Schizosaccharomyces pombe: one gene and its partners. Changing the gene in region 4 together with the main gene of any one other region gives a genetic interaction. Each region holds a gene or a part of one and is shown on either strand. Other genes may lie near its edges. The genes, in order: SPOM_SPBP4H10.16C, dbl8, SPOM_SPAPB24D3.02C and rrg9.

What was found.
Region 1: mutations in rrg9 (region 4) and SPOM_SPBP4H10.16C together harm fitness less than expected from each alone (positive genetic interaction), as found in Schizosaccharomyces pombe (one large-scale study listed by BioGRID).
Region 2: mutations in rrg9 (region 4) and dbl8 together harm fitness more than expected from each alone (negative genetic interaction), as found in Schizosaccharomyces pombe (one large-scale study listed by BioGRID).
Region 3: mutations in rrg9 (region 4) and SPOM_SPAPB24D3.02C together harm fitness more than expected from each alone (negative genetic interaction), as found in Schizosaccharomyces pombe (one large-scale study listed by BioGRID).

What each region holds. Positions count from the first base shown.
Region 1 is NC_003423.3:2,904,184-2,911,022, forward strand, and holds SPOM_SPBP4H10.16C (phosphatase activator), read right to left. Parts: upstream 3,057-6,839; 5' UTR 2,942-3,056; coding exon 2,054-2,941; 3' UTR 1,779-2,053; downstream 1-1,778. Other genes in the region: aco2 (aconitase/ribosomal domain-containing protein), read left to right, coding at 1-1,633, 1,674-1,698; SPOM_SPBP4H10.17C (carboxyl methyl esterase), read right to left, coding at 3,190-4,215; SPOM_SPBP4H10.18C (uncharacterized protein), read right to left, coding at 4,704-5,648; SPOM_SPBP4H10.19C (calreticulin/calnexin-like protein), read right to left, coding at 6,059-6,839.
Region 2 is NC_003423.3:2,555,895-2,566,867, forward strand, and holds dbl8 (ATP-dependent RNA helicase Dbl8), read right to left. Parts: upstream 7,276-10,973; 5' UTR 7,234-7,275; coding exon 1,399-7,233; 3' UTR 1,256-1,398; downstream 1-1,255. Other genes in the region: tri1 (CAF1 family ribonuclease), read right to left, coding at 1-1,053; guanyl-nucleotide exchange factor Muk1, read right to left, coding at 8,032-8,854, 8,903-9,288; oxidative stress transcription coactivator/ribosome recycling protein Oxs1, read left to right, coding at 10,540-10,973.
Region 3 is NC_003424.3:2,947,610-2,955,040, forward strand, and holds SPOM_SPAPB24D3.02C (amino-acid permease), read right to left. Parts: upstream 4,596-7,431; 5' UTR 4,113-4,595; coding exon 2,481-4,112; 3' UTR 2,399-2,480; downstream 1-2,398. Other genes in the region: toe3 (transcription factor), read left to right, coding at 335-2,119; SPOM_SPAPB24D3.03 (agmatinase), read left to right, coding at 4,807-6,033; DNA-3-methyladenine glycosylase Mag1, read right to left, coding at 6,529-7,215.
Region 4 is NC_003424.3:2,419,404-2,425,921, reverse strand, and holds rrg9 (protein Rrg9), read left to right. Parts: upstream 1-4,985; 5' UTR 4,986-5,080; coding exon 5,081-5,434; 3' UTR 5,435-6,018; downstream 6,019-6,518. Other genes in the region: pqr1 (ubiquitin-protein ligase E3), read left to right, coding at 2,719-4,131; Ino80 complex subunit Ies2, read left to right, coding at 6,303-6,518. UniProt on the Schizosaccharomyces pombe protein: Required for respiratory activity and maintenance and expression of the mitochondrial genome.

The DNA of each region.
Region 1 (6,839 bases), on a different chromosome or scaffold from region 4:
GCACTCCTGTTTCAAAATTTGGTGAAGCCATTGAGAAAAACAAATGGCCTAAAAAGTTGTCGGCTGGCCTTATCGGTTCATGTACCAATTCTTCTTACCAAGATATGACTTGTGTTGTCGATGTTGTTGAACAAGCTATATCTGCTGGACTTAAACCAAAGGTTCCATTTTTGGTTACACCGGGTAGTGAGCAAATTCGCGCAACCATTGAACGTGATGGCATTACTGAACGCTTGGAAGAAGCTGGCGCTACTGTGCTGGCAAACGCATGTGGTCCATGCATTGGTATGTGGAAGCGTACCGATGACATTGCTTCAGGCGAGCCAAATGCTATTCTTACAAGTTTCAATCGTAATTTCCGCTCTCGTAATGACGGAAATCCATCGACTATGAACTTCTTGACCAGTCCCGTAATTGTGGCTGCCAAGATTTTTTCCTCTGATCTTGCATTTGATCCCACGCATGATACATTGCAAACACCCGATGGTAAAGCCTTCAAGTTTAGACCCCCTCAGGGCGTCGAGCTTCCTTCGGCTGGATTCATCGCTGGTGACTCTTCCTACATTCCTGAGCCTAATCCTCAGCCTGTTCCGGAAACCGAAGTTACAATCGATCCCAAATCTGATCGTTTGGAGGCCCTTGAACCCTTTGAGCCTTACCAAGGAGGAGAAATGGAAAACCTTAAGGTTGCAGTGAAGGTCAAGGGGAAGTGTACTACCGATCATATTTCTGCCGCTGGTAAATGGTTAAAATACAAAGGCCATCTTAGCAACATTTGTAACAACACACTTATTGGTGCAATGAATGCTGCTACTGGAGAAGTCAATCGTGCCTATGACAATGGCAAAGGCATGACAATTCCTGAGCTGATGTGGAAGTGGAAGAAGGATGGACAACCTTGGTTGGTAGTAGCTGAACATAACTATGGTGAGGGTTCTGCTCGTGAGCATGCAGCTTTGCAACCCCGTGCCATGAATGGTCGTATTATTTTGACCAAATCATTTGCCCGTATTCATGAGACTAATTTGAAGAAGCAAGGCGTTTTGCCTTTAACCTTCGTCAATGAAGCCGACTATGAAAAGATAGATGCAGAGGATAAGGTTTCCACTCGTGGTATTGAACAACTTTTAGAAGGTGTTTTGGACCAGCCTATTACCCTTGTCGTCACTAAGAAAGACGGTTCAGTTGTAGAGATTCCTTGCAAACACACAATGAGTAAAGACCAGATAGAATTTTTCAAGGCCGGTTCAGCTCTTAATTTGATTCGCGAAAAGGCCCATTCTGGCGTGGTAAATCAAAAGGTTATAGATTCAATAAAACAACAACCTGACCACTATGCTGATGCGTATATATTTAATCGTCATTTTGTTATAGCCAAAGGAGATCAACTAGGATTGCCTTTTCACTTGAAAGGTGTCCAGGTTGGTGATACGATACGACTTGATAAAATCGCTTCCTTCGGCTCAAGAGATTTTACTCTCTTTGGTAACCCGTATGTAGACCCTTCATTGTTTACGATTGAAGCGGTTGTATTATCATTCCCTAAAAGCGCATTAAGTGTTCGAGTAAAACACAAGCGTCGTCATCGTCATGATCGTGTAATGAAACATAAACAAACGTATACTATTTTAAGGTAAGTGTGCAGCAATTCTATCATGTTACTAATCATCCAGGGTTACGGAACTCAAACTGAACTAATTCCCTTTCTTCTTTTTATCTAGTCTTCTACTTCACCCATGTATGCTGCTGACAACTAAAACATTTTGTAAATTAATATAATAATTTTGTGTATTAAGGGAAATAGTGACAAGTAATACTGAACGTTGTTCAATAAAATAATAAAAAAAATTTCAGAGAGGATCAAGAAATAATAAAACTCGTAGGAGGAGTACAAATCTAATTTAAGCAATTACAAATCAAGGATTAAGTAGGTAATTGCTGCGCAAAAATAATTCTTGCTCATTTAAAAATAAAGAGGAATAACAAAAACAACAAAAACAACAAAAACACAAAAGAGAAAAAATGCTTTTAAACTTTGAAACATACCCTGTACTTAAACCGCTGCAGTCTCGTACGTATTAGCGCCTAATACAGCAAGTTCCAACGTCCAAACTCTTCTTACCCAAGTTGCAAACTCGATCCCATTGTAGGTGATACTGGTAGAAGAATCCCACCAACACTTCCGAGCTGGTTTCTGCCAAAAGAGGAGCAACTTGTGATAAACAGGAAAATATTCAGGATCAGAGACAGGGCCCTGATCTGCACTAAAATCTAGGTTGGTCAAAGTGACTGAAGTAATACAAGCGCGATGTGGTTCTTGTATTCGCCGTTTCCATTCGTCATCTTCGTGAAATCCGCTGTAGCAAAGCATGCGTACAAGGTTCTTTTCAGCGGAACCTTCTGAGGTGGAGTTTTCGAGATGTAAACAATCAAAGATCTTCTTTTGTTGCAGCAATCGTTGGGCTACACGTTGTTTTAGTTTAAGCAAATCGTTCGGACTAACTTCAATGGCAATATTGGTGGTTGGTGAAATGGGTGGGAGGATAAAAAACTCAATGTCTTCTTTTAACAGAATTATACCACATTTTCCAGGAAAAGAAGGTGGAGGTGGTGATAATGCAATTTCATCATTAGCGGTACGATTTTCGGCCATTTGAAAATAATTTAATATGTACTGAAGTAATGAAGGATCAAAGTCAGCTGTTTGAAATATTAATGGCCTTTGAGTCAGTTGGCATTCTTGAATCTCATAATCCAACAACAGGCCTCTAGGAAATAAACACATCAAGATGGATTCCGGGAGGCCTAAAAGCTGATCTCTACTCAATTCAAATACTGTGTCACGATCGCATAATTGAATAATAATAGGATCTCCTTCATAATTGAAATCGGGATTGGCTGCTACAGTAGGTATTTCCTGAGCCTGAGTTATCACAGACATGAAGGCACAAAAATTCGAGTGTTTAAAAGAGAAGTTTCAATAAAATAAATTATTTTTTAATCAAGGGTAATGATAAATAAAGATACAATCATATATGCGAATGCAACGTACTTATAGGTACTATGAAAGCGGTGCCTTTGATATCGATGCCTACGCAACCTGCACAGCACAACGTTATATGACCATACATACTCCACTATATAACGCATTTTTCTTAGTGTATAATAAAGTTCGTTAAATCATTAAGATTACTGTAGAACAGGAGTAGCACCAACTTTGGGAGGTAAAACCAAAGGTTGATTGCGATGCCAAAAATTTAAAAGTAGAGAGGAAATCTTAGCGGGAACATCTTCATGAACAAAATGACCAGTTTCAGGAAGAATCTCAAGTTGATATTTTCCTTGCATTTGTCCAATTGTTAACGTTTTATCTAGACGATCGGTACCAGCGACAATAAGCATCCTTCCATATGGTGCTCTTAGGAATTTGTCACTTAAACCCTTAAACCAGTCCATCCAATACGGCGATGTTTTGTAAAGATCGGTTCGCCAAACGAATGTGCCATCTTCCTGCTGAACGAGAAGTGAAGGAACTGTAATACAGGCCGATAATCTGTTTCTAGTAACTAAAGTCTTGATATGCCAAGAAATTGCATCATCAATTGATTTAAAGCTAGTAGGACGATTAGAGAGGTACGTTTTCATAAAACCCAATGCTTCCATCGCAGTCCCTTCAACCACATCAATGACAACAAGTCCAGAAGTATTGGGAATAGTTTTTTGAAAAGCACAGTAAGCACAAATGGCACCTCCTAAGCTATGTCCGACCAAAATGATTTTTTCATCAAGCTCAAACATACGTTGAACATAGGAGACTGCGTGAGTAAAGTCCTTAGATAATGTTTCCAAGCTCATATCTGATTCGGGTTCTAACGTTGTTTCTCCATGAGCTCGAAGGTCCAACGCTAAAAAACCAACCTTATTATCTGAATTACTCAAGAGCTCTTGTGTAACCGGTGCAAATGACATGGCACTTGAGCCAGCACCGTGTTGCAAAACAAGTAAGCAACCATCTGGTTGTGGAAGTGTTAAGTACCCATTGATAGTCCCATTCAAAGCCCCACTTTCACCAGGAATTGTTAACTTTTCATCAAAGTAATTTCGCCAATCGCTTAAACTCTCTTCATTATTTAACATTAGTTCCTTGGTTTCGGATGATTGCTCAGATTCATTCTCATAGAGTGTTTGACTGAGTTCTTCTTTACGAAATGCCATTATAAAGTATTATAATATCTTTTTTAGCTTACACGCAGCACTATAAATAGTTCACACGAATTCCTCGTTGGTTTTATGAAGATAGAATATACAATCCCAGAAGCAGAAACGGACCTGATTGAAAAAAAAAAAAATTAATTCAATGTAATTCTGAAATCGATAAATTTTAAAACAAACAATGTGTATTCCCCAGGTAGCTAAGTTGAGTAAATAATATGCAGTGGAAGTTTCCTGTACTTACTGCGGATTCCTCAATGCTCAAATGATTTACACGCCTTCCATCGCCTACGTAAAAAAATTAACGACGTAACATTTAAATATGTTACCTCGCTTTACACCAACGCTATTTTTCCTTACAGACAAATGTGACTAAAATACAATGGTAAAAGTAAGATTGAAAATCATAATTAATTTATACTTTTTATGCTAGTATGAGACAAAAATATGAGTAGATGAATGTATTATCTACTTTTGGCAATAAGCTGGTTTTATTTGAGACCTGTCATAGAAGATGATTGGGTAGATTTCTCTTGCAACTGTTTAATTAGTAGTAATCGTCCAGCTGGTAGAGCTACCGACATTGGAGTAAAGCTAGCAAACAGCTTTGGATTAACAAAAGGAAGTTCAAAAGGTGTTATTCTAGAAATATCTCTGTGGTCGTGGATACTGGTCTCTATTTTTGCGGTAGAATCATTATTGGCAGAAAAATCCTCCTCAGTAGTCAGTTGAGTTTCATCTTGATTTCTTTTCTTTAACAAGATTGACTTTTTGTTTCTTAAAACTGACGCTTTACTTGAAAGATTCTGCTCATTTTTCTCTCTGGATTGGGTAAACTTAGATAAAGCACGATCTAAGTTCCTATCCTTAGTCTCTTCCTTGTTTTCAACGTTGCTGTCATTAATAACGTCAAAATATTTCTTGCTGCCAAATACGGGCTTTTTTGATGCTGGACGTTCAGCATTTCTTACATTATTCTTTGATGTGGACATTGTAGATGGTGATTGCACATCCATAACACCAGCATTGGACTTAGTGGCTCTTCCAGTAAATGCAAACTGTGTTCTTCGTTTAAAATTATTTTTCCTCAGACTCTCGTTCTCGGTATCCTTCCTCGTTGATCTGGCATCGATTATTTGTGTTCTGTTACGCGGAGTGCGAAGTGGGGATTTTTCTTTTAGCTGAACACGCCGTTTATCCCTTTTCTCAAAAGAAGAACTCTTTTTCTTTTTCTCTTCCATTGTTTCTTTAATGGAAGAAAGCAATGAATCGAAAGATCGTCCACCAAAAATCAATTCAGAGCCTTCGGATCGTAAAGCTGGTTGGGTAGAAAATTGATGGATATTAAATCTAATGCTTTGGAAATTCATCTCATTTTTTTGAAATAAACTTCGTAAAGATGTAGCTTTTGCTCGTTTAATTAATGAGGCCACCATGTTAGTTAATGGTGGTAGTGAATATAGTTCCAATAATCGAAAAATGAACAGCTGTAGCTGAATACTAACGTACAATCAATTACTCGACTTATTTATAAACACAAAGTAGATTCCAGTAAATCAACATTGGATTTACAAGAAAATAAATGTATTCATATATTTTTTTGTGAAATAAGTAATTAAATTAGCAAGATAATTACCATTAATTGAAAAATTAACTTGAAAAAAAAATACAATGATAAATTAAATAAAATAAACTTGTCTAATAATAATATTACATTAACGAACATTATGGCTTTTCAGGAGAAAACATTCATTGAAAGTATTCAAATGAATAGCCATACAAAATCATAGGGATCACATCTGCAAAATATATATGAGAAAGTAGAACAAAATGCTCCATATGGGAATTATTTTAACAACCATAGAAAAACCGGAATACTAAGCCCAATAGATATAGCTGTGATCTTAAAAATATCCATATTCCTCATTGGGAAAAGCATACCTTCAGTGATCCAGAAGTCATAAATAGAGTTGTAAATATAACCAATGGTATTTCTTTTGATACAGTTGTACAAGTTTTTGAAATTTCCGTAAATCGTGCTAACAAGCATCATTAATATCCCAAATGGTTGGATACTAGGTTGATTGGGACAAGGGCTGTTTTCAAGTATTTTTTTTGCGATAAAAGTTTCGTTCTCAAATTTCATAGCATCCGATAAAGAAAATCCGAAGTATATATTGTTTATAAACACGCCAGCGTTCTCGTTCCAAACATCCAATTCTACGCCATTAACACTAAATGGATATGACGACGTGTTGGTGTTATTTGATAGAAGAAAGGACATGATGTTTCTACTTGTATAGTATCCATTCGAAACGTTACTATGAGTGATCCATTTTGTTGGCGAGTGGAAAAAATTCGTCCCTACATCTCCTGTATAAACAACAGATTGATCTCTTCGTATAACTACGGTTGTATTCTGCAACAAAAGAGTATACATACTGGTTCTTCCTTCAACCAATCCAGAAGGCGGTGCATCATACAGATGACAGGAAACTTTACCATCATAGCTAATTATAGACAATGAAATGTAGTCAAACATGCCGCACTTTTTCACGCCAAATCTGATCACCGACGGAGGCTCTTTTGAAACATTCTTTGGGTTTGATTGGTGTACCAAACTAACA
Region 2 (10,973 bases), on a different chromosome or scaffold from region 4:
AGGTACTGGCGGTAGAGATATCTTTGAAACTAAGGAAAGTAAGTCCGTTGGTATCCCATCTGATACATGTTGAAGATCATCGGATTTCAAGTAGAGAAGTTTAGTGTCATATATAGATTTGAAAGATGATAAACAAAGCTCAGAAAACTCTAATATCGTTTCCGGGACTTTTCCTTCAAAAAGGGAAAACAAATACACCAAATCTGCCATGCCATTGTGACAAACTACTGACTTTTTTTTCTTAAGTATATAGTCCCATAAATGTCGCAACCCAACATTCTGTTTGATCAAATTTAGATTGTTAAGTATTAATTGGTCGCTCGCAATATCTTCTTTGAGTTCGCTTTTTGAAGTGGCAGAGCATTGAGTTGTCGAATTTTCAATAGCCTTCCGAACCTGCAGAAATGTTCTTTTGGGGTAACTCTTTAAAGTTGGAAATTCAATTTTAACCAGGGATTGTATTGCTTTTCTTATAAAACGATTAGAGGTAGTAATGTTCAAGTATTTTGAAGTGGAATGTGACAACTCGCTCGATAACCAATTCTTAATTTGATTTCTTGCGTCAACAAGAATTTCTTCATCGCAAGCATCTAAAATTGAGCTGGTCAAGTCGTCAGTTGATCTTTCATTAACCTTGTCGATCAAATTTCTTTCTTCAATCCGTGATAAGTATGGTACACCCTCTGTCAGTTGTTTATTAAAATCAAAACCTTGTTGTATCAGAAACTTAATACTGCTAGCCTCCGAGCAGAAGTCTCTCTTAAGGTGCAATTCATCTTTAACTAGAGGACTTACGTTAATATTTACGGGAATACACGAAGATTTTCCATTGTTTTGCAAATAAATAAAGGTTATACCAATTTGTAAAATTGTGTATCGTATACTACTTTTTCTCAGTAACTCATATCTGTCTTGTAAAGTATTTTTGTTGTTAAGGTTGAAGTCTCTTAATAATCCGGAAAATTCACAATCAATGGAAACATAGTGTGCTGAATCTACGTGTTTCTCCAATTCTTTTAATGTCTCTAAAAAGTTTTTGCCATGTATCTCCATCTATAGATTCAATGTATTTTGTAGAACTCAATTGAACATGCACTGATAATATGCTAATTTATAGCATATTTTGGAAGCTAATTAATAATGAAATTGTGAGTATGAGCTAATACAAGTTTGATATAATCCTAACACAAACATATAGAATATACTGGTGCATTTGTCCTGTTTATATATACCATTGAGTAAAAATTAATATAGTGTTGTTGTAAGCAAAATCATTTTTAGATAGGAGAAATATTAATAAATAAACTATGTCTAAGATTCAAATGATTGAAAACGTCCCGCTACTCGTGTTATTAAAAAAGTAATACTGTAAAATACTCATACTAAAACCTAAATCGGCTACTTCCTTTTGAAATGCTCAACTTTTGGAGGTGCAAAACCGTGGGCCATCGCCGCCAGAGCAAGTTTCGATTTGGGCTTTTTTGATTTTTTCATATGGCCTTTATCTTTATTTTTTTCCACATAACCCGGCTTTTTGGAAGACGCTTGTTCAATTTCAGATTCGTCTATTTTGTTTAACACATCTTGCTTGGAACTGGATGATTCATCAAGGCGTGGTTTCGTGACCTTATTATCAGCAGCAGTCTGATCAGTGGAAACTTTGTTCTTAGCGCGCTTATTCGGTATATCTTCATCTCTCTCAGTTCCTCTTGACAAATTAGCACTATCTATATTGTGCCGTTTTTTGACTTTATGTGCTTCTTGTTTTTCCTCACAGATACCAACCGACGGCGACTTAATTGGGGTATCCCGTGAGGCTAAATTTAAATTGTTAGATGCGAGGTGTGTCGAAACGTTTGATATACTTTTTGAGTTCTTAAATTGATTAGCACTCAAGTCTCTCCAAACACCACGAGTTTTTGCGTCTTCAATCAAGCTATAAAAAATATCCTCTTGCATTAGCGGTTTAGAATTGCCTACGATATACAAAGATGATTTAGCTCTTGTTAAAGCTACATTAAGCCGACGAAGATCTTGAAGGAAACCGATTCCACCGCTCATCGAACTCCTAACGCAAGAAAAAATTATAATGTCCTTTTCCTGTCCCTGAAACCCATCGACGGTATGAATATCAAGATGCTTGAATATAATGGAACCATACTTTCTTTGAAATTGTGATCGAAGCTGTTGTACTTGACTTCTATAAGGGGTAACAACTCCAATTTTCCCCTCAAAATCAATGTTTAGATAACATTGAATTAGCCTCTCATATAATAATAAAATAAACGAAGCCTCTTCCACATTGTACAGAGACTTTGAGTTGGAAAAAGCTTCCGTCCCGTGAACATTAAAAAATCGATAAATACCTAGCTGCGGATCCTCGTGCCAAGGTCGAGATGTCACTGCTGACATATTGGGACCGTCAAGTAGTTTTGAATTATAGAAAAACTTGCTGGGAAATCGGCTAATTTCAGGATTCATTCTATACTGTATGCTAAGAAGACAAGCGCTCTCATTATGCTGTTTGAACATTCTGACATATAGAGATTGTGAATATCCAAACTTTGCAGAGGTTTTTGATAGCACAGTAGGAGGAAGCTGATTCGGATCACCAACCATTACACAGCTCTCACAGCCATACTTAAGAGGTATGATTGAACTTAATTCAACGGCTTGTGCAGCTTCATCAATTATGACAGTTCGAAAAGTCAAACCCGCATTTAAAAGTAGTTCATGACCACTCGCAGATAAGGTAGCACATACAATATCAGCTTCCTGAAGTAGTTGATTTTGTATTTGTTTTTTCAAAACATCCAGATTACGATTAGTTGAGCGTTGACGTTCTCTCATATCATCAAGGCTCTGTTCAAGCATGTTTTTCTGTTTGGTAATCTCACGAAGCTGTGCTTCCAATATTGAACTATTTTTTCCAGTACTACGAAACTTTTCTAGATCTTCGCGTAAAGAGTCCCTTTTTTTAATAATTGAGTCATATTTTTTCCGAGTATCACTGGAATTGTTTGCTTCTTGATCTTTCTTTAGGTTCGTAAGTTCCATTTGCTTTATCATTTGCTCTTCCAAAGTAAATTCTTTAGCGTGAACGCTTATGGAGTCACCAAATCCAACACGAATAACTTTTGGAAAAAATTTGATACCCTCATGATCGTAAACACCGGCTTTGATACGAAGGAGAATTTCATCTATGGCTGCATTACTAGGAGCGCATATTAAAATCTTATTCTTTGAGGTTTTTCGCGTCTGTCCTGGGACATTAAATTGCAACCCTTGACTAGAAGAAGTAAGTACAGCTCCAATCATGCCTAGAATGGTTTTAGTTTTTCCAGTTCCAGGAGGCCCTTGAATGAGCGTAAAACCATCATTTACAGAAGATGCATAAATCGCATATGCCTGGGGTTCATTTACACCATAAGACTTCATTATTTTTTGCTTTTTGTCATCTGTAAAATTTGAAGGTAGACGCGTTACATTGGCATCCAGAATTCTCTGAGACAATGGTAAATGGCGAAGAGATTTTAAAGCAGCAAATTCACGTAAGCTAGTAGTAGCATTAAATAATTTTTGTGCTGTGAACCTAATGTTCGGTGCATACTCCTGTAGATCAATTGATTCAATATTCATCCGCAGACAGAGTTCAAGTGATTCTTTTTTACGAGAAATGGATTGAATTTTGCACAACTGAAAAGATTTTGGGTTATTAGTATCGCCCGAACTTTGTGATTTTGACAGTAAGCAAATATCTGTATCACTTAAAAAAGAGACTTCGGTAGGTGAACAGGACGTAAAGTAAATATCGACAAAGTTATCAACTGTACTGCGGGTGTTGAGGATTAAATCTATGGGAGGGTATTGCTTTTCTTCAACGGCACTTTTCACTTGAGCCCAACATTCATGAAACAACATTGGTTTGAAAACTTTCTCATAAGCGTTTGAATCATTATACGTGAATTTAGCTTGGACGCACTGCATCTCAACATTAGACGCCGAAAAAGAATCAGCTAATGGGTTCCAACCCAAAATTACTTTGTAAAACTCTTGAACATCAGGGTTTAGCCGGAGTCGAGCAAGTTGTGCACTTTGTTGAGTATTACGGCGCAATTGAGTAGGATGAACTACATTTTTTGTTTTAAGGGAATCAAAGTCCAAGAACTGAATCTGCCTTCTTTGTGGAAGAGATTTAGAGGCATGAGAATTAGCTTCACGTGCAAGCGAGAATAGACCGTTACTAGACTCTTCTTCGGACTCCGAGGTATCTTCATCGGAAGTTGAAGTATTTTTGTCATCTGGATTAGAATAACTTTTAGAAGTGTGCAAAAGTGAAGGCTTGCGAATTGGGTCAGCAGAATCGAGCTTTTGCAAAGCTTTTGGTATATGATTATCCGAATTAAGTTTCTCAGAAAGATGGTTCCCCGCACTGGTTCTTGGAACTTTCGCGGATTCGCGAATTCGCTGTGTTGTCTCTTGTTTAGATTTCAAAAAATTTAAATTTTGAGATTTTTGAGCATTTCTATTGATGGCTTTAGAAGCAGAAATAGCCTTCGGAGGAAGCAAAAAATGATTTGAAGTACTAATGTTTGACTCAGGTAATTTTTTCGCAATCCCAATAGTCTGGTCTTTAGAAAGCAAACCCCGATCATCACTCTGTAACTTAGTTTCAAGCGTATTGGTATCATTGAAAGGAGAGTGATTAAGAACGTCTTCTGAAAGGTATGGTGTGAGCGATATAAAAAGATCCTCTCTCTCAGTGAATGTAAGAATTGTTTGTTCATCACTGGTAATTGATGCCCTATGGATAATATCAATCACATTTTGACTAATTGGACACTCCAACTTTTTACAAATTTTAAGCATTTTACAAATCACTTTCACAACGGATGTTAGAAGTGAAGAATCAGTTAACTTAAGCCAATAAGATACAGTAACCAAAGAATCAGCTATACACATAGCTAAAGCACTGCCCTTATCATTAGCCGAAACAATTTTAATATCGTTATCCGATAATCCAAAAATGAATCCGTTAACTTCCTCAAAAATATTAATGAGCATATCGCAAAAATCAAGGGTATCCCGCATTAAATCAACTAAATTGTCCTTATCATGAACTGGCCAAGTAGGAAGAACAATGAAAAAATGAGTAAAGAATTTCCATAACGATTCCCAGAAATTCTTAAGGGATTCTTTCTTTTCCACTTGTTTTGCAAAAGTCGCATCCTTAGAAGTTAAGCCATCAACAGAGTCAAAAATAGTGTTTATAATTAATTTATTAAAATAAACAATGTGCTTGGCTCCTCCAAAGTTTCTGACTTTAAGCCACTGCAGAAGAACATAACATGAAGAATTTAGTGTATTTGAAAACTGGCTTCTCAATAGCTCTCCTATAGTATCAACAACGCTGTCAGAAAGCGAAATAGATTTAATAATTGAGATACTTCCTGTTGAGATCTCAAGAATTGGAGAAAAAACGAGTGAAAAGATTCCACGAAAAGTTAAAGGATTTGAAACCAATTGGGTTTGTGCCGACAAATGCCAACATTGAGTCTGAATAAGCATTTCAGAAAATGTTGCAACAAATCCGTTTAGTGCATTTTCGAAATCACTTTTGAACGGAATGTCAACTTTCTTAGGCGGCAACTTATCAATCAAGCAAACTGTAGAGCAAGCACGAAAAACAATACGAACCATAAAGAACTTCTCCTCTCGAAATACGTTTTGCAAATATACCCAAAAATTTTTAAAAGACTCACTTACCGATTTGATATTCAAGGGTGGCTTTCTATTTCTGTCCAAATAATGGCAATAGAATTGCTTCAAAATATAAAGATCTAAATTCAATCGGTATTCAAAAACTTTCTTAATAAGCCTCCATTCAACAGACTCTTCATTTTCCAAGTTTAGCAAACGAAACAGCTCGTCAAACTTAATCGCTAAAGTGGAATGTAATTCAAATACTTTGTTTTGTAAACTTTGATCACTATGGGGGAAAATCATAAAATATTCGGAAAACAAAACTGAAAATATGTCAGCAAGTGATTGAAGTAACTGAACATTTTTGAAACCGACTTCCAGTTCCTTTTTATATTGCATGGTGTAATTAATCAAAATTTTGTTAATTAATTCAACTTCATCAATGATTGAAATTGTCTTCAAAAGAGAGGTAGCCCATTCAAACGGATTCTCTGCCTTTTGGTCGTTTGAAAAATTGGATGTATTTTCTTCTGTCCACCTCTTATAAGCATTACCATTAAAAATTTTATCTATTACTTCACTGGGAGAAATTTCTGGCGTCCAAAAATTACGTCCATAGCAGTATAACAAAGAATGTAAACATACAAGGAAAGACGGACATAAATTAGTATGGTCGCTTTGCAATCCCGAAAGAATAAAATCGGCGACATTGAAATTTTTTCCTGTAAGTCCCCTAAAATAAAGATGATCAACATGCTTTAACAGCAACGATAAACCTTTCAGAAAAATTTGCATCTCGTTCTCATTTTCTTTCTTCTGGTCTAAAGAACGAATTTCCTGAAGAAGGGGACCCTCAAGGATTTTAAATTCATTATCGGAGATTGTTTTTACATCACTTAAAATACTGCAAGCCCATCTTCGGAGCTCATCATCTCTCGAGAAGAGAAGACTTATGACACCTGGCACTAGGTTTTTCGAGAGCCGAAGAAAACCGGACTCAAGAAATCTGTTTCGGAACAAGGGAAAGATTTCTTTATTATGTAAAATACGAGGAGAGTATAAGATTTCGTAGAAGGCGCATAGTATAGGTTTAGAGGCCGAGGACGTGTCGATTTTAGGCACTGTTTTGAGAACTTCCTGTAACCGAAAAATGTCCCAACTATAAATTTTCTCCATTACAATCTCAAGAGTATTTGGGTCAAAGTGAAAAATGTTTAAACATAGACTTTTGAAATCATCTAAAGATTGGTGATATTTAACTATACATTTGGGGCATAACTGAAGGCGTTCGTTCAAATGTTTTTTGAACCATACCAGATACTCGTTATCATTTTGAAAAGAAAATAGAAAAAGACATTCACGAACTGCTACTTGTAATTTAGGATCACAAACCCAATGAGGGTTTTGTCTGTTAGTATTTAGGTATGAAAGCGCCAAATGCAAAACTTTATTGGACCCTTCGAAAGATGGGTGTTTTTGATTTTCCTGAATTTTTCTTATTAATCTATCAAAAGCCTCGTCATTTTCCATAACCACAAGCTAATGCTGCATTCTCACTCTCGAAGTAGACTTATTAAAGCGCGACTGCAATTTTTCAAAATCTAGGTTTCTAAGGAAGTAAATTACACTATTCACTATAAACATTTAGTGCAACCAATCATTTGATGTCCACACAGCACTCGATTATCGCATTGAAATAAAATAGCCTTAAGAGAAATTTTAAATAAAAAAATGAACGTATATTTTGAAAGTGTATATAAATTCATGTACCAAAATCACGCTTCTTTATTGTAATTAAGATATATATGATTATCCGAAATATATTTTAAACATTACTATATATAATGTGACAACTTAAAAAACTTTCTTACCCATTATAATCCGAAGTTTGTGATTGTGTGTTTAATTCCTAGTTTCAAATATGACTATTTTCTTCACTGAGCAAAGAATCACAGTTCATTTTATTCAGTATATTTAAAAATTTTGCAGTAACATGATATATTCGTTTCATATATTTCCTTTGTAAGGATTTAATTCGCATGCAATCTTTGCGTCAACATACAAGCTTAAATCATTTTTGCTAGTTCTTTGTGATATTCATACATTAATAAAATAGACGTCAAGGAATAATCAATCCTTGTTTTGAATAAAAATTTTCTTTTAAACTTTTAAGCTGTTCACGAATTGACCTGCAACAAAGAAAAAAAAAATATTGATCAATCATATAACTTTTCTATATGACTTTGTCTCTCAAATGAATCAAATAACCATAAACAAAGCCGAAAACCAACTGGATGTGAAATTTTTAAAGAAAATATTCAGTCAAAATTACTGATTACCATTTTTCTCAAAAAGCAAACGTGCGAGGCGCTTATAGTCAGAAAGAAGAAGTTCAATTTCACCGATTTTAAGATCGCTAGCATCAGAAACAGTCAAAAAGCGTTCCAAAGGTGGGTCGCCCACGAATTCTACAGAATTGGAAGAATCTTCTGAACTTTTGGCAGTGTGATTGGCTACTTTACTAAGTAGAGAGGCATAAGATTTCTCAAGTGCTAGTCCCAGATTTCTTAAATTAGATAAAGATGAGCGATTCACAGGGTAGGGTTCTGCACTCGGATCATGAAGCGAGTTAGAGGTCGAAACTGTTTCGCTATTAGCTACCTCAAGTGAAAGAGGATCATCAGAGGGTTGAATTGACGATTGAGTTAAAAGATTTGGACAAGCTCGAAGAATAAAAGTAAGGGCTGCCTCAAAAGTTGTGAGACAGTATCTTTGCTCTCCGCTTAAAAAATCTGCATTTCGAAAGCGTAACACAAAATTCAGGTGCGATATTAAATGAAATCCGGGATAACAGAGAATGCAATATATGGTCAAATTTAATAAAGAATCAGCATTCAATTCTTCTTGAGGAAGTTGAGAGGCATTCAATATACTTGAATTAACGGTCATAAAAGTGTTTATTTTCGATCTAGGTGTGTGTTGCTCATCGAGAGCAAAAAATGCTTCAGAGACTTCATGTAACCGGTTTGTAAGTTTTTCATCATCAGGTATTGGAATGCAATTGATAAGTTCTTTCTTTTCTTCAGAAGCAATAAATTTTTTTAACAAGTCATCTTTGGCAGCATCCGTACTTGTAGATAAACAGAAAATCCTAACACAATATTAGTAAACAGTTATTGTAGGCGAAGTAATCACATACCGATCATACAAATATTCGCAAACTATATCTTCAATTTGGTCCATCCATTCATCTTTTTGGTTCAGCAAGTGTTGTCTCGCCTTTTTCTGAGCATCTATTTCCTCAGGAAACAAAAGAGGCACATTTTGATCTTTTGAAGAGGGTTGAGGGATAAGGGTTGAAGCAATAAACTCATCGGTATGCTTGTAAAAGTTTTGAAATGCTTTTGCTAGTTCTTCAGGCGAAAGCAATTGAGGGTGAACCGGACTAACTAGAGAAGAGATAAACTGTATCACACATGCTTGTACAGTAGTTGGAAGATTTGATGCAGAATTTGGGAGTTTGATGTCTTCTTCCTTAGGCTTATTTGTATATTTAACAGCTCTCCAAGAATTCAGAAAGCTCATCGAAAGGAACTTTTACGAAAGGTGATCAAAAAGTTTAATTTTCAAAAATAAAATTAAACGAAAAAAAATTCTATATATACATGTAACTAAGAATATGTTAGCATAGGGTCTAATTCAAATTTTCAAATTTATATCAGATAGGATAAACAGCAATCGAAGGAACCGAGTACGAAGTATTCGTTGAGAGTCAAAAATATAACAATATATCCCTAATAGAAAATATACATCGTTTTAAAGCTATAAATGCTAGCAATTCCTTCTTTACCTTTGTCGTATGACAAGTTTTCAAGTAATTGTCAAAATATAGAGACACGAATTAAAAAAATAAGAACGTTGATTAAGAACTTGATATAAAATGAAATAATAATCAGAGGTAATGCTTACTTGACTTTAACTTATAAACCCTTCAAAATAGAGGAACAGTGCTGGTAGAACCAAAATTGATATGCATTCATGTTTCGGCATAATAATAGCGTATACTCGTTAAGAAACCGTATACTGTAAATGTAAATAATAGGATGAGTAAATTTAAGTGCTAAAAAAAATAATTTAGAATTATAGATTCATTAATTCCTTTAACAATTAAGATGATCGGAATGTTAGTTTGTACGTTATTTGTATCGAAGATGAAGTTTAATACTTATATAGATTACAATAAACTAATCAATACTTGAAAGCAATTGTTCACTGTACGATATTGTTGAATAATTTGGCAAGAATAAGCATTTAATTTGATGATATATTTTACTTTTTCAAACTTCATGAAATACACATCGAAGTCCATAACAATTGTCATGATATAATATTGTAATTGAAGAGTATGATCAATTTACATCGGTTGACTTTGTTTCTCTTTTTAATGAGTTATCACTGTTAAGAATGCCATCATGTCATAAAAAGGATTTATGGTGTATTATGCAGTGTCTATACCATTCAATATACCCTTAGCCTGCATCAAGGCATTTAAGGAAATAAATAGTAGCAGATTTCCAATTAAGAACTTTTATTTTCTATTTTAGTGATAAAAATTCAGTTACATACCAACGTTTGACGCCGTTTGTTCAGTGTTATCAATACACCTTTGTAAATACACTGATAAAAATAGGGAGATATAACGAGACATTCACTTATAAAAATTATCAGATCAGATTATTAATCCATCCTTCGTCGCCTTTCTTATAACGAGGCGGCATATAGAAATCACCTGTTGTTCAAGTCATTCAAATCTCACATACCATTAATAGCCTTGATATGGGGAATCCAAAAAAGAGAGCAGAAAAGGCCGAAGCGGCAAAATCTAGAAAACAAGACGAGGAAAAGAAAAAAAAAGACGCTGAAGAAGACGAAAAATGGTCCAAGGGCGTCAAAACTAATAAAAAGGAGCAAGAAGCTGAAAAACGAAAAGCTGCGTTGGAGAGGAAAGCTGAACGTGAACGTTTAGAAAAAGAAGAAATGGAGAGTCTTCCATCTAAAGGAGGAAAGGGGTCAAAGAAGGCTGCAAAGAAGAATTCATCTTTAGACGCTTTCCTCAACGAAACCCCTCAGACAGCTTCATATAGTGCCCGCAATATTGATGATGCTTTGGATTTGTTAAGTTTAAACAATTCATCGTCCAAAGATAAAATTGATCGTCATCCTGAACGTCGGTTTAAAGCAGCTTTGACAGAATACAAACAATCTCGTTT
Region 3 (7,431 bases), 530 kb from region 4:
GATTATTTTTCCTGTTTTTACAATAGTCGCCTGTAATTGGTATCCGGAGATTTATATAGTACAAAAAGGGCGCTGATACTTCCAAGATCACCTTCCTTAAGTATATTCACCAGATTTCGAAATAAACGGCAAATACCGTACTAAGTCACATTCGATCGCTCACATTATCGTTAAAAATTGTAAAGCGCAGTTGTCCGTGGAAGGGCTGCTCATTTTGCCTGAATTATCTGCTTGTTTGAGCCAATACTTCACAGCCAAATTACTTTGCATTTCCGTTTAGATCAATCGAGAGAAAAATTAAATTTTAAATGTAAATTACTTTTCGTTAGGGCAAATGACTTCTGTGGAAAAGGCTAGTAAGGCATGTGAACTTTGTCGACGCAAAAAGATTCGCTGCAATCGCGAACTACCTAGCTGTCAAAATTGCATAGTGTACCAAGAAGAATGTCATTACTCAAAACGTCTGAAACGTAGTTATTCTGCCACGAAAAAAAAGAATGGGAACCCAGTTTTGGAGTCAGCAATTCCCAGTTTGAGTCCAAGTCCGTCGATCGAAAATGGATCAGCAATGCTAAATTCCGATATTACTTCTCTTAGCAATCGTATATTCAAGGTTGAGGAAAAGTTGGACCTGATTTTAAGTTTGCTAAAAAATTCATCGGAACCTTTAGATAGGACTGAACGAAAGGATTTCCCTTCTTTAGCGATGCAGATTCGAGATGCAAATTCCCTTGTGAATACGAAGTTAAAAGAGTACAGCCGTCGATTTGAGTTGCCATCTCAAAAGACCTCTTTTGACGACTTATTCTCTAGCACATTTCCAAATTTCGATGCTGCTTTCAAAGATATTCCGGATAAAGAATGGGCTTTTGAAAACGTACAGTGGTACTTCCGATATATCAATTGTTGGTGGCCAGTATTTTATGAGAAAGACTTCATGGATGAATATGAGTGTTTGTACCGAGACAGGAATCAAGTTAAAGGGGCATGGCTTGTTTCCTTTTATTCGGTTTTGGCCCTAGCAGCTTCACGAAGTAAAGCTGGTAAGGATCAAAAACTTGCTGAATCATTTTTCTCCACCTCCTGGTATTTGATCCAGAAGCCGGGTTTTTTTCTTACACCTCAGCTTGAAAAAATCCAGGCTTTACTTATCATGATTCAATTTGCTGCCCACGTTTCTTTGCACACATTGTGCAAAGCTCTTTGTGGGCAAGCTTGTCTCATGATCAGAGACTTGAATTTGCATAGGGAGAGCGCCAACGCTGATTTTAGCAACAAAGATGCAGAATTACGAAGACGCGTCTTCTGGATTTGTTATATATTTGAGATTACAACTTCATTGGTGTTTGGAACTCCATCTGTTTTAAGTGATATGGACATTGATTGCGAGCATCCAAATTATGAATACGGCCGTTACTTTTCAGAAATGCCAACTGGCGATCTAATTTTCAGCTCAGAAGTTTCTTTGACTATCCTCAAGAACGAGGTCAGAACAAAAGTATACAGCCGCACAAATACTTCAAATGCAAGGAACAGAGAAAAGGCAATTTGGCAAATTCATGAGAAGCTACTTTGTTGGGAACGTGCACTACCTATTGAATTGAGGCAGTATTTTATTGCGTTGACTGAGAACGCACAAATTTACGAAGAGCTCGATTTTGAAAAGCAAAGGCTCTTCTCGGCTTGTATTGAAGTTTATTTATCTTACTGTAATACCTTAATTTTTTTGCATCGTCTAAATGAGAGCGTAGAAGGAGCAAATATTTGTCTCGACACAGCTCGCCGTGCTATCAATGTGCTTAAATTCTTTTTTATCATTCCTATTGCGAAGAATGTTTGCTATTTATGGGTATTCTTGTACTGTCCATTTACTCCCTTTCTTGTCCTTTTTTCTAATATTGTTAATGGCAAAGAACCGAGCACCGACATTGCTTTTGAAGATCTTAATCGGATGTATTCTGTTAACAGATTCTTTGTTAAATTAAGAGACATTGGTGGAGACCTTGCTGAAAAACTTGCATCTGTTACTGAAAATTTTATACATGCTGCCGAAAATTATTTCGCTGTACAGCCAGCATTTATGGCTGATGCTTTTGATTTTGCGAGCTTTTTGACGTGAGTTAGTCAAAAGCGCTTAAACATTTTTTTGGAATATGGGGTAAATATCTTCTTCATCTTTAAGTCCTAATTGTATATTATAGTTTAACTCGGTGTTGATTGCTATATAGTAGAAATTTTTAAAAAATATTATAACTGGGTTGAATTTTAAAAGGTGAAGCAATGTTCTTTTAAAAACTTAGCTGTTTTATAGCGGACTGCTTTTGAATTCAGCTACGCTTGTTTATAATATTACCATATGACAGAGATATATATATATATATAGTTTAATCGAGGAAAATTGGTACCTAAGTCTTTCACATATTTATTCATCGATTAATCAATATCATAATAATTATTACACAAAACTAATATACAATATGCTAATTATAAGACTTGCCATCATCTTCTTTGGACACATGATCTGCCTGAAAATCCACAGTAACACCTTCAGTAACATTCTCATCAACTGTTTTAACAGGACCTTTGAAAAAAGTTTTACCTCCGTATTTTGGTAGATAATAATATCCTACGCAGAAAAAGACTGTGAACCCCAGCACTACAATGGCCCAATTCATTTCCACTTTATTCGGATTTTGGTAACTAGGGAAAAGAAGCATAAGCGCCATGAACCATAACCAAGCCACGGCTACAATTGAAATAGGCTTGCTAAATTTCCCGCAATAAAACTTTCCAGGGTTCAGCCGATTAAACAACAAACGGCATACTAAAGGTAAAGAATATGAAATAAAAAATGCGATGATAGCTAAATTAAAGATAGAGCTGATGGCTGTCACGTTAACCAACATGAGCAAGCCAACAATAATGGTATAGAGATTGACAAGAAGAATCGCATTGAGTGGAATGCCGCCAGGAGTTAGCTTACGGAATATCCAACTACCAGGAAGACCCTTGTCTCTAGCGAAAGCAAAAATTTCTCTAGAAGAAGCCAGGCATAACGCAGAGCAATTAAAACAAAGAGCTATTATCAAAACAGCTGACACGCCAACTGCACCCCTTTTGCCAAGATTATTATAAAGCACCTGAGAAACTGGTTCTCCGTAGGGAGTGTTTAGAATAGAACTAAAGTCGTGACCCATTGTGCCTGCTATAGTGATCATAATGCAAAATCCCATAAAAAGAGATACCGTAAGACTTGAAATAATTGCAATGGGTGCTGCTTTGCTAGCATTTTTGGCCTCTTCAACAATAGTAGCACACGATTCAAAGCCTGACAAAACCCAAACGGGGGTTGTGAAGCAAAGGATGAAGGACCAACCCATGTTAGTCCATCCAGAATAATTTTCGAAATTTCCAAAAATATAGCTCCCAGTGTTTCTAGTCTCGGAAGTTGATGATGCTGCTAAACTGATAATAAATATAAGAATCGTGCATATTTGAAACACCACATTAAAACTGCTGAAACGAGCAAGGAACTTTGTTGGAAGAACAATCAAAGCTGAACAGGCAAAACTTAAAGCGACATAGATACCGTACTCTTCATATTTAGTCGGAGCATACGAGGGATTGGCAACAGACGCTGTTGCTTGAACAAGACCCGCAGCAGCATAGATAGTAGAGGCAAATCCTGTAGAATATGCGAGTGCAAGTACATATCCCAGGAACCAACTTAAGAAGGCACGGTACTTTGGAGGAGAGAGATAAGCCGTCCAAAAATATAAACTGCCAGAAGTGGGCATTGATGATGCCAACTCGCTCAAAGCAAAAGCAATTGGAAGTAAACAAGTAGCACCCACAAACCAAGACCAAACCATACCTCCGGCGCCACAATTCATACTAAAGGCCATGGAGCCCACGAGAGAAGGACACAGGCCCATGGATCCAAAGGACTGACCAAACACGGCGAGTAGGGAAAATTCTCGTTTAAACTCTTGCTTATAACCAAGGTTCAATAGCATCTTATCGTCTTCTGTAACGGGGGCAGACTCACCAACCTCTATGTCCCCAACAGAGATATCGTGAAATTCTTTCTTCATCCCAATTGTTTCATCCATCTTTCCTAGACACAACTAACGATATATAAAACCAAACAATACAAAGTGCAGAACACGAAAGATTCCCCAGTTGAATACACACGAGGCAATAACTCCAATTGAATACCAATATTAAAAACAAAAATTGGTCACAGCAAAAGGTAGTGAGAAGGCAGTAAGCAGATAAATGGGATAGCGATATTGAGTCAAAATAGCAAAAAGCCAAATGATTAAACTCTTGATTAAGTATACGATTTCCTAAAAAATTTCCTGAGACAATTGAACGTAGAAGCCCGTTTTTATATTGCTAATTAAGATGATGATCATCTTTCTAATGTACTGCTTAATCTATTGATTAAGTAAGTTCTATTTAAATTCTGGATAGGATAAGAGATTTCAATAAGCTATTACCCTTTTCATTTATCTTGTCGAGGTTCATCTCTATGAAATAAGAAACAATAAGGCTTTAGATTTCCGCCAAACCTATCGATAGCTTATTTTCCTAACCACCCCCCTATGCTTGCAGTAAAATTTATCGGCCATTTTTCTCCATGGACTCCGTTATACAGTACTTCTGCAATACAGGCGCCGATATTCGCCATAAAATGAGTTATACGATTAGTAGATTTTTGATATGATGGGCTTGTATTAGCCCTAAATTTGAAAGTATATAAAGGCCAGTTTCACTGTCTTAGAACCGTAGCTACAAGAAATTATGAAAAGTGTTGAATGGTTTACATGGGGAGTTTTTCTGCTACTTTCTGGCTTTGGAGAAGCTGGGAGGATGGGCTTGGGCTTTCAGGAGAAGAATCCAGTTTTCGTAAAGGAAAAACAATCACCATTCTATGCTGTACCTAGTAACTATGAGGAAGTAGAATTCTCAAGTATAGTCGAACCTATGTATTCAGGGATTGCGACGTTTGGTCGTTTGGAGAATGTTGAATGTTTGAGTAAAAGGTCAGAGGACTTTGATATTGCCTTTATAGGAATGCCTTTCGATACAGGCACTTCTTACCGCCCTGGTGCTCGATTTGGTCCAAGCAGTTTGCGTGAAGGATCTCGACGCATAAATACTAAATACGGTGCAGTGAATGTACCTCTTGAAATCAATCCTTTCAAATCATGGGCAAAGCTTGTGGATTGTGGAGATATTCCAGTCACCACGTATGATATTCTTAAAGCTATGGATCAGTTAGAAAGTGCATATTTCCAGCTAATAGCTCGAAAGCCCTCCAGTTTTACTGACCATGATGGATTTGCAAAAAATGATACTGTGCTTCCTCGAGTCCTTTCACTCGGTGGTGACCATACCATTGTCCTTCCCATCTTACGAGCTTTGCATCGTGTTTACGGACAACCTATTTCAGTTATTCATTTCGATAGCCACTTAGACACGTGGGCTCCTGGATTGATTGGCGATGGCGATGAAGCAGATGGAATAAACCATGGTTCTTATTTCTACTTTGCTAGTCAAGAAGGTATTATGAGCAAAGATGCCAACATTCATGCTGGCATTCGTACTCCTATCTCTAGTTTCTCTGACTACGATGATGATGTTGATTGTGGTTTCAAAATCATTGAGGCTCGTGAAATTGATGATTTGGGGATTGATGGTATCGTCAAAAAGATTCGTGACAGAGTTGGTGATAATTTGGTATATTTATCCATTGATATTGATGTGCTTGATCCTGCATTTGCACCCGCTACGGGTACTCCTGAAACTGGCGGTTGGTCATCTAGAGAAATGAGAGCAATTTTACGTGGTTTGCAAGGTCTGAAATTCGTAGGCGCTGACCTTGTCGAAGTAGCTCCCGCTTACGATGTTGCAGAAATAACATCCTTGGCTGGTGCGCAATTGTTATTTGACATTGTATCTATGATGGTGAAATATCCTTTGGTAAAAGAGGCTGATTTATCTCGTTACATGCCAATACATAAATAATTGAAATAACTGGTTTATTTAATATTCAATATTTATATCGACATCATAGATACAGATACAGAAATGAGCATGTTCAAAAAAAATCATTATTCATTATATTATTAACATATCATACGCAAGTATATCGTTAGAGACAGCTGAGCGTCATCTATCTTGTATCACATAAAGTAAAAGACAAATGTAGCAGAAACGGGTTTTCTTAACCACCCAAGAGTGTTTTGTAAATATTTGCAAATGAACCCATTAAAACATCTCATCTCCCTTTTGTTATTTTTGCCATCATTCACCAAAAAATCACTTCTTTTATATAAGCGTAATGTGACGAAAATGCTTCGTCTGAGTGGACGTAGACATTCTATTCAGAAATGATTGAAAAGATACTATAAATTGGTAAACCAAAAATAAAAAGAAGCGTACATAAAATGTAAAAGACCAACCAGGAATAAACTTATCGAATTCAACTTTTTACTTTTAAATATATAATACATCTGTCCTTCAGTGTTTCTTCGGCCTAACAGGCTTTGTATAATCGGCAAGTTTTGACGTTTTCCAGAGATACCATGCTGCTGCAGTACGAAAAGGTGCACATATTTCACTATGCTTAAGAACATACATCTTGGTTGGAATTTTTGGTAATCGGTGTAGATATCGGTATCCATTACGAATACTCAAATCGTCAGCTGGCATAACATCATCACGATTCAACGAAAAGATGAGTAACATTTCTACTGTCCATCTTCCGATTCCTTTAATCTGAGTAAGTCGTTCTATCAATTCTTCATTTGAGAGCCTTTCAGCTTCTTCTTTAGTAGGAATCAAACCGCTGATTGTTGCCTCAGCAATGCTTTTTAATGAATCAATTTTACGAGCTGAAAATCCACAGGCACGCATTATTTCAAAATCCATATCACGAATTTCCTCTGGTGTTGGAAATTGGCCATTGTTAGAAATACTTTTAAAGCGATTGAAAATTGCGTTAGCAGCTTTACTATGCAATTGTTGAGATGCTACCGCACGAATTAATTCTTCATAAGGCTCTTTTTTCTCCATACTTCGATTGGGTCGATAATTACCAACGAGCTTCACGAGCCGTTTCCAATTCTCATCCAATCCAGAAAGATGGATTTCTGCTTTTGTGAGTGAAGTGACTATCTCTTCTTTCTCTTCAATGTCCAAAGTCATAATAGCAAAGATTCAATTGATCAAAAATTTATCACTCATTATGTGCTTTTGACTAAACGGTAAGGGTTTTCATTCCTTAGGAATTGCACTGCAATTCGTTATTTATGTAAGCAAGTCCTAAGCTAAAAAAAAGGAATCTTGAAGCAAATTCAACATTCTTAGATGTAATTTGAAACTTCAATTAAATTTTCATCTGGATCGCGAAAATAAATAGAG
Region 4 (6,518 bases):
GCTCCCAACTGTGTTTCAAAAAATGTAGAAAGAGACAAAAAGGCGAATTGACGAGAAACAACGAATCAAAATACTGTTAATGCTAAAAAATAAAGTAATATGCTATGGGTAAATTAAATCTGTGTTGACAAACCCGCAAATACATAATATGGTGTGGTCCCTCACGTCTCGCCAATGCTGAAGTAAATAAATACAACAAGCGAAACATAAGTTAAAGTTGTGTACGAAATCATTTGAACCCTAAATAAATTTGTGTTCTATACATGCAAACTTTAGACAGTTTGAAATCCGAAAAATCACTTTTGTAAAAAATGAATATATGAATAAATATATATATTAACATATATTGATATATGTATAATCTTAATACAGTTTACAAACTACTGTCTTCTTAATTAAGAAAACATGGTTCTCATGAAAACTTATATTGTTATTTAAGGTCTTGCTGCTATATATGCATTAGCAAAATGCACATTTCCAAAAAATGAAGTTAAAATTATCAGTTTACAAAAGACATTGAACTAAAGATCAAATTTTTCCACAACCGAATTAAAATGTAAGATTGTGTTTTTTAGAAGAAGCCAATGCGCTAATAATAATGCCATGCTTGCATTGCTTAAAAACAAACGAACTTCTTGCCTTCATGTAGCAAGGCTATTATCACGAATTTTCATGTTAATTTCGCTATGAATGCTTGGTCTTTTCTGAGTTAATCAATACTATTTAGCTAAGGTTTCGCTCATATAGAATACGAAAATTTCGCATTTATTAATGCAAATTTCCTCGATGTTTTTAATATATTGTGTTGCTAATCTGACTATATAACACTGCCTCTTCAAGGGACAAATAGTTTTAACAAAATTTGTTTACATTATTGAGTCAAGCAATTACGACCCGATGTTATAAGCATTACGCAGATTTCTTTTACAAAAGGGAGGTCTCTTTCATTTACCCCAAGCTTAGCATTACAAAATCATGTGCAAATGAGAAGACTACTTTTAGGGAAAATAAAAATCTAAACTTGATTGGAAAGCGAAAGTTTAAATCCTAAATTGTTTGAGGTTGACGTGTTAGTTTTTCACCGTAATAAGTAAATAGCATTGTATAATGAATAAAAGAAAAATTTTGATAGTTTAACAATTGCTGCTATTCATATTTTAATAGAATCTCAAAATTCATACTAATCGACTTTCTTATCCTTCTATATTCTTCAATATTTCAAACTCGTTTTAAGTCTCTCCTATAGCTTGGGATTATTCAATGAAATTGTAATTGTCGTCCTTTCCTTTACATTGTGAATACTAAAAAATTGCTTCTTCCAGAATTGTTTTATTGACTCACGGATTTGCAACATGTCCTTCTCCTCTTTTTTTTTTTTTTTTCTTTTTTTTTCTAATCTGTAAAAAAACCAAAATTTTACAATCTCGATAATCCTTTTAATGTCTATAGTCATCAAACACGTTTATCTACTTACTCAATACGATAATGTACAATAATTCCATACGAAACTTGCCCTTATCTGTTTTAGTTTTTTGTGGCACACCGTTAACTAATCGTGAATAAAATGGTTATTACAGTCATAGTCCGGTTTAATCGGATCAATCAAATATAATTAGATACCTACTTATTATCATATACATACAAAATTAAAAACAATACAAAAAAGAGGAAAACAAAGAGGCTCAACTTCTTACCGACTATCCTTTATCTCTCTTTTTTTTTTATTTTTTTTTATTTTTTCTCTTTTGGCACAGTGCTACAGAACATTTGTTCAACAACCCAACTCTGTACGTTTCACACATTGTCAGCAAATTGTTGACAATCAGCACAAGCCTCATTCTATAAAGCTAAGGAAGATTTCGTACCACTGCTGGTCTTCCAATTGCCCCTGCTTCCTTTCCTTTTACTGTAAGGCTTACCGGAAGGCCGTTTACTAATAACATTGCGAACCCGAGTGCGGTTGGGTAGTATTACCTATACCGCAAGTTCCTCCGCTCTTTTTATGACGTCAGGGGGAAATGCTTTGGTTTGCCACCTTGCGTCGTCTAACGCGGTGCAATATAAGGATGCGAAAGGACTGCAAGGATTTTCACCTGTCATGAACCAACAAGGATTTTGACGATTAGTACAGTGTTAAAACTTTTGAAATAGTATCGAAAATTCATTTACTATATGTATAAGTATTAAGGAGTTACGCATCTCTTTACAATTTTAAACACTCACGTACCTTTGGTTGAATCAAGCCAGGCAGGTCTCCGTTTGCGAACGACGGTTTCGGTTGATTCGAAACGTGGTATTAGAAAATCATTTTATTTATTTTCATTCCCATTCCATTTATCTATTCTATCTAATTTCGTCCCATTGTAGCTTGTTGTTTTATCACAAGCAGCTTTTAGGTCTTTGGGCTGTTACTTTTTTCTTCACTTCATTCCATTACTAATATATATATATTTTAATCAAAACGTACGCAATTCAACTCTGCGAAACTCTATCTTGCAAGCTTTCTTTCTCCATCTGCTTGTAATAAAGAAAATACTTAACTCCGATACTTCGATTGCAAAGGTCGGAGCACTCATTTTTATAAAAACCACAAAGCTTTCTCCTTCTTGGGCTTTGGTTTTTTATTCTGTAGTTTTACCGCCTTTCAAATATTTTGATTTCAATCTTTTGTAAAGGTTTCATCCTCTTTCATTTTCATTGAAAAAAAGTCCTTCCGATATGAAATTTGGACACGATTTTAAAAGGGCTCTCGAAAACGATATGCCCCCTGGTTGGGGCGAGGCTGCCATTCAGTACAAGGCCTTAAAAAAATGTATTAAAAGGTTCGTTTTTGAGCTGTCTTCCTTGGGTCTAAGTGCTGAGACCATCAGTAAATTGATGGCTCCGACTACCGTGGATCCCCAACAAGCTATTACGCTTAGTTACTCCCTTGGCAAAGAGGGACACATTGTTGTCCCCAAAATTATTATCAACGTAAATTTTGATAAATTGAAAACTGATAAGTTCGCTGCTTCAATGTTCAAGCAGTTGAATGCATCAAATATGATTACAACCGTCAGGAGTAATTATGCCTCAAATGTTCCTTCTACTCCTTCGGATTCTACTCAGCAGCCCCCTACCAATACGTTACCAAGTGTGTCCGCATCATCTCAGAGCGTAGAGACTTGTGAAACGGTTGATGAAGATATCGATACTCAAACTATGAGTTCTGACATGTCCGAAGTTCAAAGTATGGAAATATCGTTGAACTGTGACCACGAGTTTTTTGAAAAATTAACTTCGGAGTTGCAAAGTGTTGAAGGACTACAGCGTGAACAGCGTAAAATTCTTTTTAACGCAATTGATATCCTGAGTCATGAAATATCTCTTATAGCTTCCCCTAATTCCAAAAAGAAATACAAATCTCTTTATTGCTGGAGAAAAATTTTCGAAATTTATATGGATTCCGATATATTTATTTCTTGCAAGGAAGCTGATCAGAGTCATGAACGCACTCCCGAGCTCGCTGAGCGCCATTTGAAATGGTTTGACGATCAGGTCAGGCTAGCAAAATGTCTTCCCTCTTCCTCAAAGCATCGTGATCGTATTTTGTATGCTAAGTTTCTTGAACTTAATGAAAGTTTGTTGAAAGTTGCTTCTTTTCAGCAAATGAATAAGTTAGCCGTTACGAAGATCATGAAAAAGTTTGATAAGCGGACATCCTTAACCGCTCAACCTCTATTTTTTCAAGTTATCGAATCAGACCCTCTTCTTTTGGTCGACAATGCTTCTAAAGCTATATGCTTTTCACTCTCTTCTAAGCTATTCTCGATTATTCCTCAACTGAGGGATTTTGAATGCGCTATATGCTCTAACGTTGCTTACAAGCCGGTGAGATTAGGTTGTTCCCATGTTTTTTGTTTGCATTGCCTTATCATTCTTCAGAAACAGAAAGTTGATTTCTGTCCGTTGTGTCGTGCCAAAGAAGTTATGAAAGCCGATTCTCGCAATATTGATCACGCCTTGATGAATTTTATGAAAACATATTTCCCAAGAGAGATTAAGGAAAAGTTTGAAGAAAATGAGAACGATACGTTTACTCCTTCTTCAATTTCTGTTGTATCAGGTCAGAACAATTGTGTGATAATGTAGATAGACGACGGATTTGTTTCCGCTAAATTCCCAACCCTCTCTTAAAGGCTCAGGACTATTTTTTACTCACTATATTTGATTATCTGTTTTTTTATGTTTTCCTTGCCTAATTTGCATACTAACTTTCTATTTTTCTTTCCTCACCTAACTTTTATTGCTGTAAATAGCATTTTCGTGTGTTTCTTTGTTATAAACGTTTGCTTATAATTCTCGGTTTTTTCTTATATTTAGCTTTTTTAAATGCTTGTACATAATACTTGCTCATCACATACCATTAATCTTTACTAAACCGAACATATTTTTTAAAAATCAACATAGACAATAGACATTTATAGAATTTTAGCTTACAAAAGCTGTGTAATGTTTTAGGAAATCGTATTCGTAACTTAAATTTACCAAATTTGAACTCATTATTCATATTATTCGGAAGTTCTTGTAGTCAACCTCTGATGTATTTGTAAACTTAACGTAACTTTCAGCAACTAAACATTGATAGTCCGAAAAACAATGCTTTTATCTCAATTCCTAAGTTACCCACTTACAGTGTTTAATATGTCTCTCTTCACAGATTTTAATGAATAATTGTGCTATGGGTAGTAGTTTTTGTGTTTGGAACACTAGCAAAAGCTGTTTTTTGCTTTCTAAAACCGACTTTACCGGAGCATCAAGAAGTCCTTTGCCACGATTTCACTGAAAACTCCGAATGAACAAGATTTAAGATATTTGACAACGTTTAAATCCGAGTATTTCGCGGAGTAATTTAAGGCTGTTTACAACTATTACTAACTCAACCTAATATCGGAGTAGTTTTGAGCGTTGTACTTTTTTGTTATAAGTGGAAGTAATTATACTTCACCAGCTACTAAATATTCTAAGTGGTAATGGAATATATAGTGTCATTACTTAAAGGTCACATAGACTGAAAAAAGGAAACGTTTGGATTTTTTTGATGAATATATTCAACTATACTACTCTGATTTTTCGCCGTTTAAGCTCTACCTTCAAAGCTTCAAACAAAGCCTCTATAGAGTGGAAAAAGCAGAACATAGCGGTCAAACGAAAAATTGGAGGCTATTGGAATCCAAAAAAGAAACTTCCTTTAGAATCTATGGACGAAATTCGGCGTCTAAAGAAAGAAAAATCATCTATGTCATGTTCAGAATTGGCAAAACTATATGGAGTTTCACCTGAAAGTATTCGCCGAATTTTGAAATCCTCTAATAGACCATTAGACGATCGGGAGAAATCTCGTAAAGAAAAACGTTGGTTGAATAGTCTTAAAAGTAATCGTGATTTTGCATAGATTTATATACTTTTTTGAGTTGCCTTGAAATAATTCGATCTGTAATGTTGGAATCAATTGTTTATGAACTAAAAGTGAAGCTTCTCCTACCTACAGTAGTAAGGGTTTTGAATTATTCAGAAGAAAAGTATGAGCAATACTAGAAGACTTTTAAATTGCTACGAAATCACCATTCAATAAGTTACAAATTTCGACTATAACTTGATGAATGTTCATTTTAAAGTAATACAAAAACTATTATTACTTGTATTAAAAAAGCTCCATACACTACTTACAGAATCGGAACAGTGCTTTTTAAAATTCTTTTGCAATGAGAAAGCGTTGAACTTCTGCTTTTAGAGTACCAGGGTTGGTAATACAGTAGAGCTAATAAGTTGCTTTACAAGAGGCGCACAGCATCTAGCGATTAGAATTTTAACACCACTTGCTTACAAATTTAAAGCATGCAAATCAACGGTCGACAAAGTGCTTTCGACAACTAGTAAACAAACCAATTATGAAGCGTTTGATAGGTGCTCTCTATCAGTGTGATATATTTACAAAAAAAATAGAAATTGTAATAAAATACGAAAACTCGTTAACGTACAATCCACAATGTTTCGATAAGTGCATCCATTTACTATTCGTATAACCGTCTTAATGTGGCACATGGTTTCTCCACCAACGACATAAATCTTAAGCCAGTTTTAATCTTTATCTTAGCAGTTTACTGTAGAAGTGAAATCTTTTTTTGAAATAACTGTGAAACTTAGCAGCTTCTGAAAAAGTTGGTAACGATTTGTGTACTTTCAATTAAAAAATAATTTTTAAAATGCACCTTTGTTTTTACTAGACTTTAAAAGACTACCTAAGTATCATATTTAATATAATGGCACGGAGAAGATCCACGAGACGCGCATTAGTCGAAACGCCGTCAGATTTAAACGCTCAAGACTCTGACAGTTTAAGCGTTTCTACGAAAGAGGAATTAGGTGATGATGCTCTTGCCGCAGAAGAAGGTCAAAGTGTTTTAGATGAACAAGAGATAGAGGAAGCACTAGAAGAAGATGATACAAATTATGAAGAAGACATCATCGACGATGAG